Linked DNA regions of Zea mays. The protein of the gene in region 2 interacts with the protein of the main gene of each other region in a pairwise test. Links are inferred from orthologs where the notes say so. Each region holds a gene or a part of one and is shown on either strand. Other genes may lie near its edges.

Region 1 (4,308 bases), on a different chromosome or scaffold from region 2:
GGAGAAGAACAGAAAAACACAATCGCAAGGAGGGGGAAAAAGAACTTGACTTTGAACGCGGCATAGCAGTTTTCCAAGAACCTAGGGGCTCCATGCATTGGAGAACAGGTCTACGCGTACACAGAATGCAATGCAATATAATGGTCCGACTCATTATTCACCGGTCAAGGGGCTCCGTCTGGTCCATGATGACCTGGCCCTCGGACACCTCCGCGAGTGACCGGAGGTTGCACTTGAGCAGCGCCTCCACGAAGTAGCAGGTCTCGTCCTTGGTGTTGCCGTCGGGGACGTCGACGACGAAGGACTCGATGACGAGCGTCCCTGGCCGGCCGTCGATGACCTCCGGGTGGACGGTGAGGATGGAGGAGTAGTTCTGCGGGCAAAGGAAAAGGAAGGTGAGATGCAGCAGATCGATGAATTAGACTAGTCGTCAGCTTTCACACACGCTGGCGTTCTTGCAACCAACCCAAGGGGGTCAGGGCCGGATAAACTTATATCCAGGTGGCGTCCATCGTCCATTATCCAGGTGCAACGCATGTGAGTTGTGACCATGGGCCACTTGTTGCTATCGCTGGCTGATGACGAGTGAGGGCAAACGGACGGAGCACGACAAGCGACAGCGAGTGACAGGTGCTCATGCGATGAACTTGGCATGTAAGGTCAAAGGATGGCAAGTCAGTGCCATGCTTGGAGTTGAGAGCATGCAAACATCACCCGGTACATAACAACAACAACAACCGCTGCTTGTTTTCTGGTTAGATAGACGACAAGAGTTTGTTGGGGGGCTATCACTCGAGGATGGCATCGTCGCAGGGCAGCACATCAAGATGCATCTGGCAGAGGAACTCCAGGACGCATTTGAGGTGGTGGGCAAAATATCTCGCATGGGCAGCACAGAATATAGATAGATGAAGAACAGAGCATACCTGCAGCCTGTGATCGCCTCCAACGAACCTGACGCTGAGAATGCGCTCGTCGTCGTCTAACAGCTCGAGCCTCTCCGTGCTTCTTGTGGCCGGCAGCCCGGACTTGACGTTGACCTCCCTGACGCTACCGATCTCGATGTTCCCCTTCATCTCACACCGGCTCACGAAGGGCTTGAAGAGCTGTGGCTGGTCGAACCGCCTCACCAGGGACCAGACCTGAGAGACAAGACAATTACTCGATCATCAGGCACTTCAATGTATGGTTAAGCTTTAAGCAGGTGACCAAGATTGATTAATCCACACTTTCAATGTAACAGACGAAGGAATAAACAGGTCCCCGGTTGCTTGCTATTCAAGTAGTATTAAGTGTTCTGCATAAACACCCTAACCGACCGGCTAACTGCACAGCTCGACCAGGCTCAGCTGAACCATCGCCAGGAATTGTAACAGGAAAAATGGCATGAACGGTGTACTGTCTACAAGTCAACTAAACACGCTTGAGGAATATGACATCTCTTCTAATCAGAGGCACAGTACACAGTTATAAAATGAGGCCTAGAGCCCTTGAGGTTGCTAAGCATATTCACAAGCATCCTTTTGGAATATGCTGAAAACTTGGGCTGGAAAGTCAGCCAGAAACGATGGTTCCCTCTGAAACAGTAATCAATTCAGTGCATCGCATCGCATAATTATGCAAAAGCTAATGTGTTTTTTTTGGGTAAGATTACTAGTTTTGCATCTGATCTTGTGCTGAAGCTGAACCACGTCCAAAAGGAGTGGAGTCCAAGTGAAGTGAAGCGTATCTCCCTCCCTCCCACCACCACCACCGCCGTCTGACCGTCTCGATTACTAGATTACTTGCAGAATAAAGCGGCAACACTTCAAAGCCTAATAACGCGGGGGATACAGGCCAGCAAAACAATGCATGAGCAGCTAGATAGAAATCTCAAAGTAATTAATCTGGCGGAAAGCAGATTCAGCGAGCGGGCATCTCGCGAGGTGCGGGTGGGGGGGAAGCATCTTCCCACCCACGGTGAGACGAGGTTACAGTACTACAGAACGGCGAATTAAAAATCGTCGAGGCTTTTCTGTGTGTATCATTTGCCTTTGCAACCAATCATGCATCTCTCATGTTCATCTCGCGAGAGCTCAGAAAAAAATTCACAGGCGGTTTCTTGGCAGGAAATGCAAATCTTAGATTTCGGCTAAAGCGACGTGGGTCCTCCCAGCAATGGATCCGCCCGACCAATCGCGTGAAAAGAGAGAAAGGATGACGACGGGAGAGACGAGCAAGCAGAAGCAGAGCAGGGCCGGTTCAAGTTCAAGACGGCATCCAAATCGGGCATCCTTGTTTCCTAATCAAGGAGCCGCGCATCGGCACTCCAAAACCGGGGGCGCCGGGCGGCGGGACCCGGCCAGACAAAAGGAGAAATCGAGAAACCGATCGAAACGATGTCTCGGCGGCGGATCGACTGCGCGAGCGCGACACAACACCCTACATACTCTCGCCATGGAAACGTGGAAACGGCACGGCGGCGCGGAGAAAAAGCATAGCAGAGCAGGCAGTAGGCGAGGGATTGATATATCTGATTCAGCGGCGTGGAATGGAAGGAAGAGATTGAGAGAGAGAGGCAGGCGCTCACAAGGTGGACAGGCGCCTTGATGTGCTTGGCGACGGCGGAGGAGCACTGGTGGTCGCGGGGCTCGTGCCGGTGGAACCGCCGCACGTAGTCCGTCTCCATGGCGCGCAGGTCGCACCGCTCGTCCGCCAAGCGCCACCGCCGCGGCGGCGGCGGCGCCGGCGTCTGCGCTCCTCCTCCTCCTGCTGCTGCTACTCCCACGCCTCCGTCCATCTCCACCACCATCACCGCCGCCGCCGCAAAGCCAGACACAGCCACCACGCTCGCAGCCTCGCACAGGCACAGCCCGGTAATGGAGGCGGCAGGGGCTTGTGTTCCGCACCGAGGAAAAGCAGACGACGAGGTGCGGAGCGAGGAGGTGGGGTTTTGCCTTTGCCTTTGCCTTGCTTTGCTTGTTTTGTTTATGCCGCGGCGAGACCGCGAGGGCGATGGCGATGGCGAGGGCGAGAGGGAGAGAGTGACGACGACGACCCCTGGATGGCACAAAGGCCGCAGCCTCAGGTGTGGTTGTTATGCTATTGGGTGCCGCTTACAAGCAAGGGCCTACTAGAATTAGGAATGCCAGATATGCCCTCCGAGTTCGCCACTTTTGCTTCGGTTTGCTCGTGAAAACATGGATGGCCGGATGGCCCCATGGCGGACGGCATTATCTCGTTGCCTTTTTTTTGGTTTGGAGATAGGTGTAGACATGTTTTTTTTCTAAAACAAGGCCCCATGCACGTCGCATAATGGTGTTGTTAAGCTATCGGAGAGCAATGTACGAGCAACTCCAATAATAATTATCTAAATTTTAGCTTTATAAATCACATATTTAAGAAGTTGTTAAATAACTTTGGGAGTTAAAAAGTGTAAGTTCACCAATAGTTTTATATTTATAGTTTTGTTTTGTATCTATCCATATAAAAATAAGTCACAAATATCATCAATTACATTCATTATCTATATAATGCAGTCAACATTTTTTTACGGAGTTGCTAAATAGTTGCCAAATGTAGAGAGAAAATGAGGCTAGATGAGAAGTTGCTAAATTAAGTAAGTTTATTTAAAGAAATGTTGGAGATGAGTTCTTATGTTGACTACCTAAATTATTGATTTAGTAAGTCTTTTAAAGAACAACGGGAGTTGCTCTTAGAAGGGATAATAGTTTAGCAAGTTGCTATGAAGGTTGGTTCTAACTGCGCGATTTTATCGATTGCTGGTGTTGGTTGGTTACGTCGATCGGTCAGTACCAACCTCGTTGTGCTAGCGCCGAGTACCGATTGGTCTCATGGATAGTCGATCGGTTGGAGATACGAGAGCGATTATGATTTGTTGGTTCGGTCAATACCAGCCGTCTTTAGCGATGTTGGACGTTTTGATTAGTCCACATGTGTTACATCAGCTAGTCTTTTTTAAAGAGTTTGAAATACAATTTTTTAAAAAAAAATATATGGAATGTGGTCTATAAATGAAGGGATGTTTGGTTCATTCACACTCCCCACTCTCTATTTCTCTTCTATCACTCTGTATATCAGTCCTCTCACTCTCCTTTCACTTGACCAAACCACCCTTGCCATGTCTTCCTCGGGCTCGATGTGGCTCGATGTTGAGATGACCGAAGATGAGGTACTCAATATGTCGCATCAAACTATGATGGATGTAGCGGTGAAGATTGTAACACCCAGTCCACTCCCGGACCAGTGGTACTAACTCCTAGCAGTCGTCTAGGATCATAGACCATCTCCACAAAACAACACGAGTCT
Region 2 (3,569 bases):
AATTTTGGTCAGACTGGAAGGCGATAGCATTTTGTCAGGCCGTGTGCACCTCAGCTTGCCTCGCCAGCAAGAAACGAAAGATAAAAATGTGTTTGGACTCCTTGCCTTGTTCAGTTTTTGTGCAACTGAGTTTTCCCTCACTGACCAAGGTGAGACAAATTGGCTCACCGAAACGGGCAAGGTTTGCATGCGCAAGCTGAGGTTTTCACCGCGGACCCAGGAGAGCCAAACTGGCTCTGGCCAAACATTGCAAATTATCTGACTTGGACTCTTTTAATTGAATTTTGCAGATGTTCAAGTTCATCGGACTTGAATTCTCAAGTAATTTTTGCTAGATATGCTTTAGCTCACGTGATGATCAATCATCGATAGAAGGTTCAGATCACTGGTAAGGACAGGACAGGACAGAGGAAGGTTCAATCTTTGAGTACTCATAAAAACTATCGAGGTACTCGTAAAACAAGGTTTCAGTAAACTCTATATCAAGGATTCCAGGGTGAGTTCAGAGTACCATGAAAAGTTTCTGTAATAACTATGCTGAATATAGATTATAGAGTATATATATGTCTAAATCTGTTATGTCAACCACCATAGCTAAACCAATACAACTATGCAAGGAATGCCACATTGTTTGTAAAATCTTATTTGAACCGGTGGCGGATGTAAACAGGTAGAGCTAAGCAATCATCCAAGCCAGCACAATTTTTTGCACAAGTGCATAACATATATACTACTACAAAAGTGAACAACTGTAGAACTCTGAAAGACAACTTAACAGTCACCTCGATCTTGCATACTTGCACCAAGGCACCAAGCAAAGCTTCCCACAAGTTCATCAAAGCTAGAGCCTGGGGCCTTTCATTCGTCCTTCTTCTCGAGGCTGGTGTTGTTCAGCCGCTCGACGGCCAGTATAAGCGCCTGTGTACCGAGCCCGCCCTCGCCGTGCGCGATCAGCGACACGTACAGCTGTTGCGCGAGGGCGAGCCCCGGCAGCGACAGCCCCATGGCCTGGCATTCCAACAGGCAGATACCGAGGTCCTTGACGAAGTGCCGGACATAGAAGCCAGCCGCCATATCCCTCTCCAGGATCCGCTTCCCATACAGTTCCAGCGACTTGGACCCGGCTGCGCCGGTGGAGATGGCCTCCAGCCACTTGGCCACGTCCAGCCCGGCCTTGTGCGCGTACACCATGCCCTCCACGAGCCCTACCATGGTGGATGCGATGGCGATCTGGTTGCCCAGCTTCGCGCGCTGCCCCGCGCCGGGCCCGCCCATGTACAGCGCGTTTCCCATGAGCTTGAAGAGCGGCGCCAGGCGAGCAACGACGGCGGCGTCGCCGCCAGCGAAGATGGAGAGGGTGGCGTTGCGGGCCCCTCGGTCACCGCCGGAGACGGGGGCGTCGACGGCCGAGCAGCCGGCGGCGGCCGCGGCCGCGGCTATCTCGGCGGCGAGGGTGGGGTCGGAGGTGGTCATGTCGACTAGGATACCGCCTGGGGTGAGGCCAGAGAGGGCGCCTGTGGATGGATCGAGGGCGGTGGAGCGGACGTCGGAGGGGAAGCCGACCATGAGGAAGATGACATCGGCAGCCGCGGCGGCCGCGCGCGGGCTGTCCGCGAGGCTGGCGCCGCGGGAGACGAGGCCCTGGGTCTTGGATGCCGTCCGGTTGAATACGGTGAGAGCGTAGCCGGCGGCGAGGAGGTGGCCGGCCATTGACTGGCCCATGACGCCCGTCCCCACCCAGGCCACGCGGGTGGTGTCCGGAGAGATCGGACGCTCGGAGATGTTCGCTGCCGTGGACGACGACGACGACATGGCTGCTGCAGCGGCGGTAGCGGCAAGCGGAAAGGGCGGGCGGCGGCGGCGAGTGAGGAAACGGGATATGCCGGCGAGCATTTGGGGGCGGAGTAGCTGCTAGATATGCTGCCCCTGTATGCAGGTGAATTGTCGCAAATGCCCTCTTCTGGCGCGTCGCAGTAGCAGATAAGGCGGCGTGAGGTGGTGAGTACTGAGTACACTCATTTTCCTTTTTTTTTTGAACCAGCCTTTCTAGCTTCTATCGGTCACTCTCTTGAAAAGGAGCCAGTGGGCTTTATATCCATGGGCCGTATGGTAGCCCATCGCCAATCTGCATCAACCAAACTCGGCAGTCCTCTCCCGCTCTTCTCTGCTTGCTAGAGCTACAGCTAGCTGATCGGTATTTCTATTTTACTTCAAACCGTTTTGGTTCCTTCTCATGGTATCTTGTGTTGATTGGATTGAATCAGATGCCTTGAAGTGTCTTGTGTTTCGAATTCGAGGTTTCTATGGACACTCGAGGTAATTTAGGTCGATTCGGGTTTACTGGTGCCTGACTGTTCTGTACCTAATTGGTCTATCCGATCTGTGGAGGTAAGGTGCAGTCTTGGTTTACTCCGGATGTCCTAGATTACTCGATTCTCCACTTCATTTTCGTGTCAACCAGTTAGTTTGCACCTTAGAGTCTATAAAGAAGTGGGTCTGTTGTGATCCTGGGATGGTAGTGTGGCACCGATTTGTTAATTCAGATCTGTTCATTTTGCCATGACTATTTGTGGCTGGTATAGTCTGATTTGGTTCAAACGATTTTGTTATTTGTTGGCAGGCCTCATATCCATGGTAGCTCGTTTAACTAAAATATGATAGCTCTTTTAGCTCGCGAGCTGTCTCGTTAACAAACCGAGGTTAACGAACCGAGCTAGGATGTTAGCTCAGCTCGTGAAAAAAAATCAAACGAGCCGATCCAAACTAAACCGAGCTGACTATAAATCAAGCGAGCCGAGAAGCCATGAATTTCGTCCATCACTACTTCTAGCATGGCTTTTATATCATAATTTCCACAAATAAGGTAACTTATACACATAACTCTTTTGTTCAGAATAAAAAAAACTATACGCAACTTTTGCAGTAAATTTGTGCATGACATGTTCCCAGCTAATTTCTCAACATAAAAAAATTGTTCCTAGTACTGTGTGTGTTCGGATATGGCCGCATGGACTGTGTGTGTTCGGTCCAGAGAAAAATTGAAAAACAGAGGCAGACCGGCAGCAAGAAAACAGATAGACAAGAAAACGACGGCCTTACTTGTTCCAGATCATCCACGGAAAGTCGAAGGCAAAAGCCTCGTCCGGTTGTTGGTTTTGGTGTCCACATGGCCATGGGATGGCGGCGAGTCAGCGACCACAAGCCCATAGGCTGTGATCAAAACAAGCGAAACCCCGTTGGGAGGTACGGAAGGGATTCGGTGAGTCCGCAGTCCGCAAGAGCGGGTCGTCGGTCTCGCGTCTCGGTCAGCCGATGCGGGCCGGTCCAAGCACCCGCGGGCTTCCTGGCACCTGCACGGCTGCACCTGACACTCTGACTAGAGATAACAATGGACCTTATTCTGGTGAATTCTTCGTTATGCTAATTTGGAACCCTATTTTCCCACATAATTTTTATTTTCCTAAATAAAATTAGTTCATTTTCTATTGAAAAAATAGAAATTCATTGAAAAAAATAGAATTCCCAAACTAGCACTTAGAGATACTTTTGAGACCAAGGAAATTATAGAT
Region 3 (4,420 bases), on a different chromosome or scaffold from region 2:
ACTCTACTATTTTTGTAAAGATTGGAATATTTCTCTTCATGGGGCAACTTCTACTCCTTTACTACACTCTTATTTACCTCTATCTATTGAGGTATACAAATAATTTCAAGTTTTCTCCACTACCCTCCTTATAGTACATCTACAAATAGACAATGATTTGGAGATACATTTGGGGATCACAAATTTTCTCCTCAAGAACAGTTTATAAATTGCTTATATGATATCAACACATTCATCAAGCCTTCAAGCGGTCATGGAAGTTTGCTTGAAAAAATAAAAAAAATCTTCTTTTGCCTTATTCTAAAAAATTAGTTGAGTAATATAGCGCTTCTTAAATATAAAAACATGCATTTAGATTGTTGCAATTGCATCATTTGCTCACTAGATGTTGAAGTGGATCTTTTTCACCTTATGTTGGACTACCCTTTTGCTTTGGATTGTTTGTCTTCTCTGAATCTATTTATACTCCCTAATAGTGGTTATTTGGAAGTGTTAGAGATCAACTTCATCTTTCTTTCTTCATGGAGATTCTAATCGAGATGTGTTGGGCCATTTTGGATAATGCGTAATGACAACATTTTCAACAATATTGTGCTTTCAATTCCAAAGTGCAAGGTAGTTTTCAGGAAAGAGTTTGCTCTAGTTATTCTTAGAGCAAAAACACGTTATAATCCAAGTATCGATTTATGGCTACAAGCCTTTTTGTAATTCCTTAGGTTTTCATTTTGACTTTTTTGTGTCTTGAACTATGCACTTTTATGCTCTAGTTTTTTAAATAATTTTTAGTAGCCCATGTCCTCCTATTTAATCAAAATAATAGGAGAAATGTTTTCAACTTGGAGCTAGCAATGACTACCATGTGTGACATATTAATGAAATATGAGCTTAAAATATATTCATGAGTGCATAATGTTTTATGCATACATGAGGTATTTAATCACATGGCTAGGTAGATAAATGATTGATAACTACATATGCATCTAGTAAGATAAAAACAATGCCTTTAGAGCACCATATATACTATTGTCTTGATTGTGGTGCTTATATCATACTACACCATCTGATGAGTAATATTGACTGTGAAAATAGAAGCAAATGGAGGCGGAGAGAATATATACATCCAATTGATGTCAAAATTATTAAAAGGTTGCAAGGTGGAGAGGTAGGTGACTTCTCTCACATATAGCAGGAGATTGATTTTGATGAAAACATGCTTAGCATACTGGTCCATGTACCTTTGATCTTTCATCAAGTTTCTCAAGTGGACAATTTAGCTTATCAATTCCTACATGGATCACTAGTTGTAGTTTGAATTTGAAGGTCATGGGGTTTACCATCTTGTTAACTGGATGACTATTTATCTTAGAAAAGAGTATGGTCAGCTTGGTGTCCCTGACTTGAGACATCGTAATATTATTCCATTAGCTTCTTGGGTAAAAAGGTACGATTTGGAGATGACCAACTATGGAAACAAATCATAGACCTCAAATATAGTACTACAATCCCTAATGCCTTACATGTAAAGATACTAACAACTATCATCTTTTGGAAGGGTTTTGTTTGGATGTCTAGGTAGCTAAAATAGGGTACAAATAGAAGATTGGAAATGGAAAAGGATGAGATTTTGGGAAGACAATTATTGGCTAGACTCATCTAACCTTGGTATAAGTTTTTGGGACCCTTACTTTTGTACTAATGCATGGGCAGATTGCTACTATTGTGGAGTTGTGGAATGGGTCTAGACTTAGATGTACTTTTAAGGTATGTCAAGAGAGTATCTTGTTATAAATTAGGAGGATGTCATCCAAATTGATCCCATTATCTATTTTAATAAGGAAGAGATGAACTAGTATATGCTCTATTTAAGGGTATGTATCCATTGAAAGAACCTGGATGTATGAGAGAGAGAAAATCACAGTTAGGAACATGTTATGCTCTTTTATAAGATGAAGCTTGTGGAAATTCAAATAACTCAATTCTTTCTATGCAAGAAATTAAGCTCTTTGCAGTAACTATGGTGATCTATATTCAAACTGTTGGAGCAATTGTGCCCCTTGGGACACATGCAACAATACAAGGCCATCTCTAGAATAGAGGAACTCGCAAGATGGCATGGATGACTCCTAATGAATGGACCATGACCAAAGACATGTTTGGGAGCTTGGTCAGCACTAACACAATACATAATAGAAGAAAGATTGGCTAACCTGCAATTATGGCCTCTAGCACAATGTCATGATCTGATATCTTTGTAATCATTCTATACTACTAGAGGGAGATTCTTTTGAAAGTTTGAACTATAATGCTTTACTAGAACCATTTCTTGGTCATGATAAGTAATTTAATGGACCAGGGGTGCCCCTTCAAATTCTAAAAACTGGAAACATATGGATGTGTGTGGTAACAATGTAGTCCAACGTCCCATTATAAGATGTCTATATAAATTGTACTTAATTCAAGTATTTGTAATTTCAACCATAGCACTATTCCATAAAAATTGTAGAAAAATAAGAAAAAACAAAATGCAGTACATAAAAATAGGGGTAAAGGTTAAATAAGAGGGCACTTGTTTTCTATAAAAAATGTGATCCTTGACATGTAGCACTCAAGTGTGGTTAGGTTTTGGGATTAGATGTAGTGGCTTTAGATTTTGGGTGGATAGGGGAGATAGATCTGATGGCTATTGAGGTTAGGGGTATGGTCCCCAATCATAGCAACATCAAGATAGGTGGTGAGGTAGAAGTGACAGTTGGCAGTCAACATCCTTGTCAAAGAATTTACTAGCAATACGATTTGAAGGGTGTCAATAGTCCCATACCTCTCATAGATATCACAGCAAGAGGGACAGTGTGATGCACGACGGCGACGGCAGCGGCGGCGGCGGGGAAGACACCGAAGACCACAGGAAGTGGGTTTGGTATGTGGCAGCAATGGTCGATGGGGGAAATGGTGAGGGGGTGGGTGAATTGCGTGAGGAAAGTGAAGACAAGGAAAACGGTGGGTGGACGAGTGGGTGTTGGGGGATGAATGTGGATGGGAATATGGCTTGTAGGTATGCTCATTATGTGTGGAAAGGCAGGTTCTGGAGTACAAGGAGGGTTATTAGCATATCCGCGTGGGCGGCACTACCCACCACACACCTTTTATTGGGACCACCAAAGGATGAAGCTTTATTGGGCTTTAAATTAACAAGTTGTTCCATGTTGCTTGATAGTTATCCCTGCCTATGGTCTCTCTAAAAAACTGATTCCACTCTATGGGACCTTCACAATAGTAGAAAAAAATCTAGTTAATGTTGGTTCTTCTACAATTTACTAAACACAACAAAACATGAAACTAAATACCATTTGTAGAAACAATTACCACATTTAAGTTTAAAACCTTAAATATGATTTTAGGGAATATGTGGTATCCATGTTACCCAAGAGAGGGAGAGATAGAGAGAGGGAGGGAGGAAGAGGGGAAGAGGAATAATTGGGTCACTTATAACTATCCTAGTTTTGTCGGGGACCATAATTAGGGGTACCCTCAAGACGCCTAATTCTCAGCTGGTAACCCCCATCAGCATAAAGCTGCAAAGGCCTGATGGGTACGATTAAGTCAGGGATCAGTCCACACGAGTGACTCGATCACGCTTCACCCGAGCCTAGCCTCGGCCAAAGGCAACCGACCTCGAGAGACTTCTGTCTCGCCCGAGGCCCCCTTTTTATGGCGGACACATCACCGGCTTGCCCGAGGCCTTGGCTTCGCTCAGAAGCAACCTCGACTAAATCGCCGCACCGACTGACCAAATTGCAGGGGCATTTAACGCAAAGGCGGCCTGACATCTCTATCCTGACACGCGCCCCCGGCAGAGCCGAAGTGACCGCCGTCACTCCACTGCTCCACTGGCCAGTCTGACAGAAGGACAGCACCGCCTGCGCCACTCCGACTGCAGTGCCACTCGACAGAGTGAGTCTGACACGCAGTCAGGCCTTGCCAAAGGCGCCACGGCGAACTCCGCTCCGCCCGACCCCAGGGCTCGGACTCGGGCTAAGACCCGGAAGACGGCGAACTCCGCTCCGCCCGACCCCAGGGCTCGGACTCGGGCTAAGACCCGGAAGACGGCGAACTCCGCTCCGCCTGACCCCAGGGCTCGGACTCGGGCTAAGACCCGGAAGACGGCGAACTCCGCTCCGCCCGACCCCAGGGCTCGGACTCGGGCTAAGACCCGGAAGACGGCGAACTCCGCTCCGCCCGACCCCAGGGCTCGGACTCGGGCTAAGACCCGGAAGACGACGAACTCCGCTCCGCCCGACCCCAGGGCTCGGACTCGGGCTAGCACCCAGAAGACGACGAAACTCCGCTTCGCCCGACCCCAGGGCTCGGACTCCGCCTTGGCCTCGGCCGAACGACTTCCGCCTCGCCCGACCCCTTGGCT

What was found.
Region 1: the proteins of Probable 3-hydroxyisobutyrate dehydrogenase-like 1, mitochondrial (region 2) and uncharacterized LOC100272864 interact in binary tests that used the Arabidopsis thaliana proteins (3 or more experiments, as listed by UniProt). The link is inferred for Zea mays from reciprocal best matches to the Arabidopsis thaliana genes AT4G29120 and RCAR3.
Region 3: the proteins of Probable 3-hydroxyisobutyrate dehydrogenase-like 1, mitochondrial (region 2) and AT-rich element binding factor 3 interact in binary tests that used the Arabidopsis thaliana proteins (3 or more experiments, as listed by UniProt). The link is inferred for Zea mays from reciprocal best matches to the Arabidopsis thaliana genes AT4G29120 and PYL6.

Annotation. Positions count from the first base shown.
Region 1 is NC_050099.1:232,111,113-232,115,420, forward strand, and holds the start of uncharacterized LOC100272864, read right to left. Parts: upstream 2,910-4,308; 5' UTR 2,792-2,909; coding exon 2,570-2,791; intron 1,143-2,569; coding exon 789-1,142; 3' UTR 374-788; coding exon of another isoform or gene 158-373; 3' UTR 1-157. UniProt on the Arabidopsis thaliana protein: Receptor for abscisic acid (ABA) required for ABA-mediated responses such as stomatal closure and germination inhibition.
Region 2 is NC_050098.1:204,470,679-204,474,247, reverse strand, and holds Probable 3-hydroxyisobutyrate dehydrogenase-like 1, mitochondrial, read right to left. Parts: upstream 1,953-3,569; 5' UTR 1,894-1,952; coding exon 859-1,893; 3' UTR 631-858; downstream 1-630.
Region 3 is NC_050103.1:176,436,271-176,440,690, forward strand, and holds the start of AT-rich element binding factor 3, read right to left. Parts: upstream 2,910-4,420; 5' UTR 2,826-2,909; coding exon 2,819-2,825; intron 1-2,818. UniProt on the Arabidopsis thaliana protein: Receptor for abscisic acid (ABA) required for ABA-mediated responses such as stomatal closure and germination inhibition.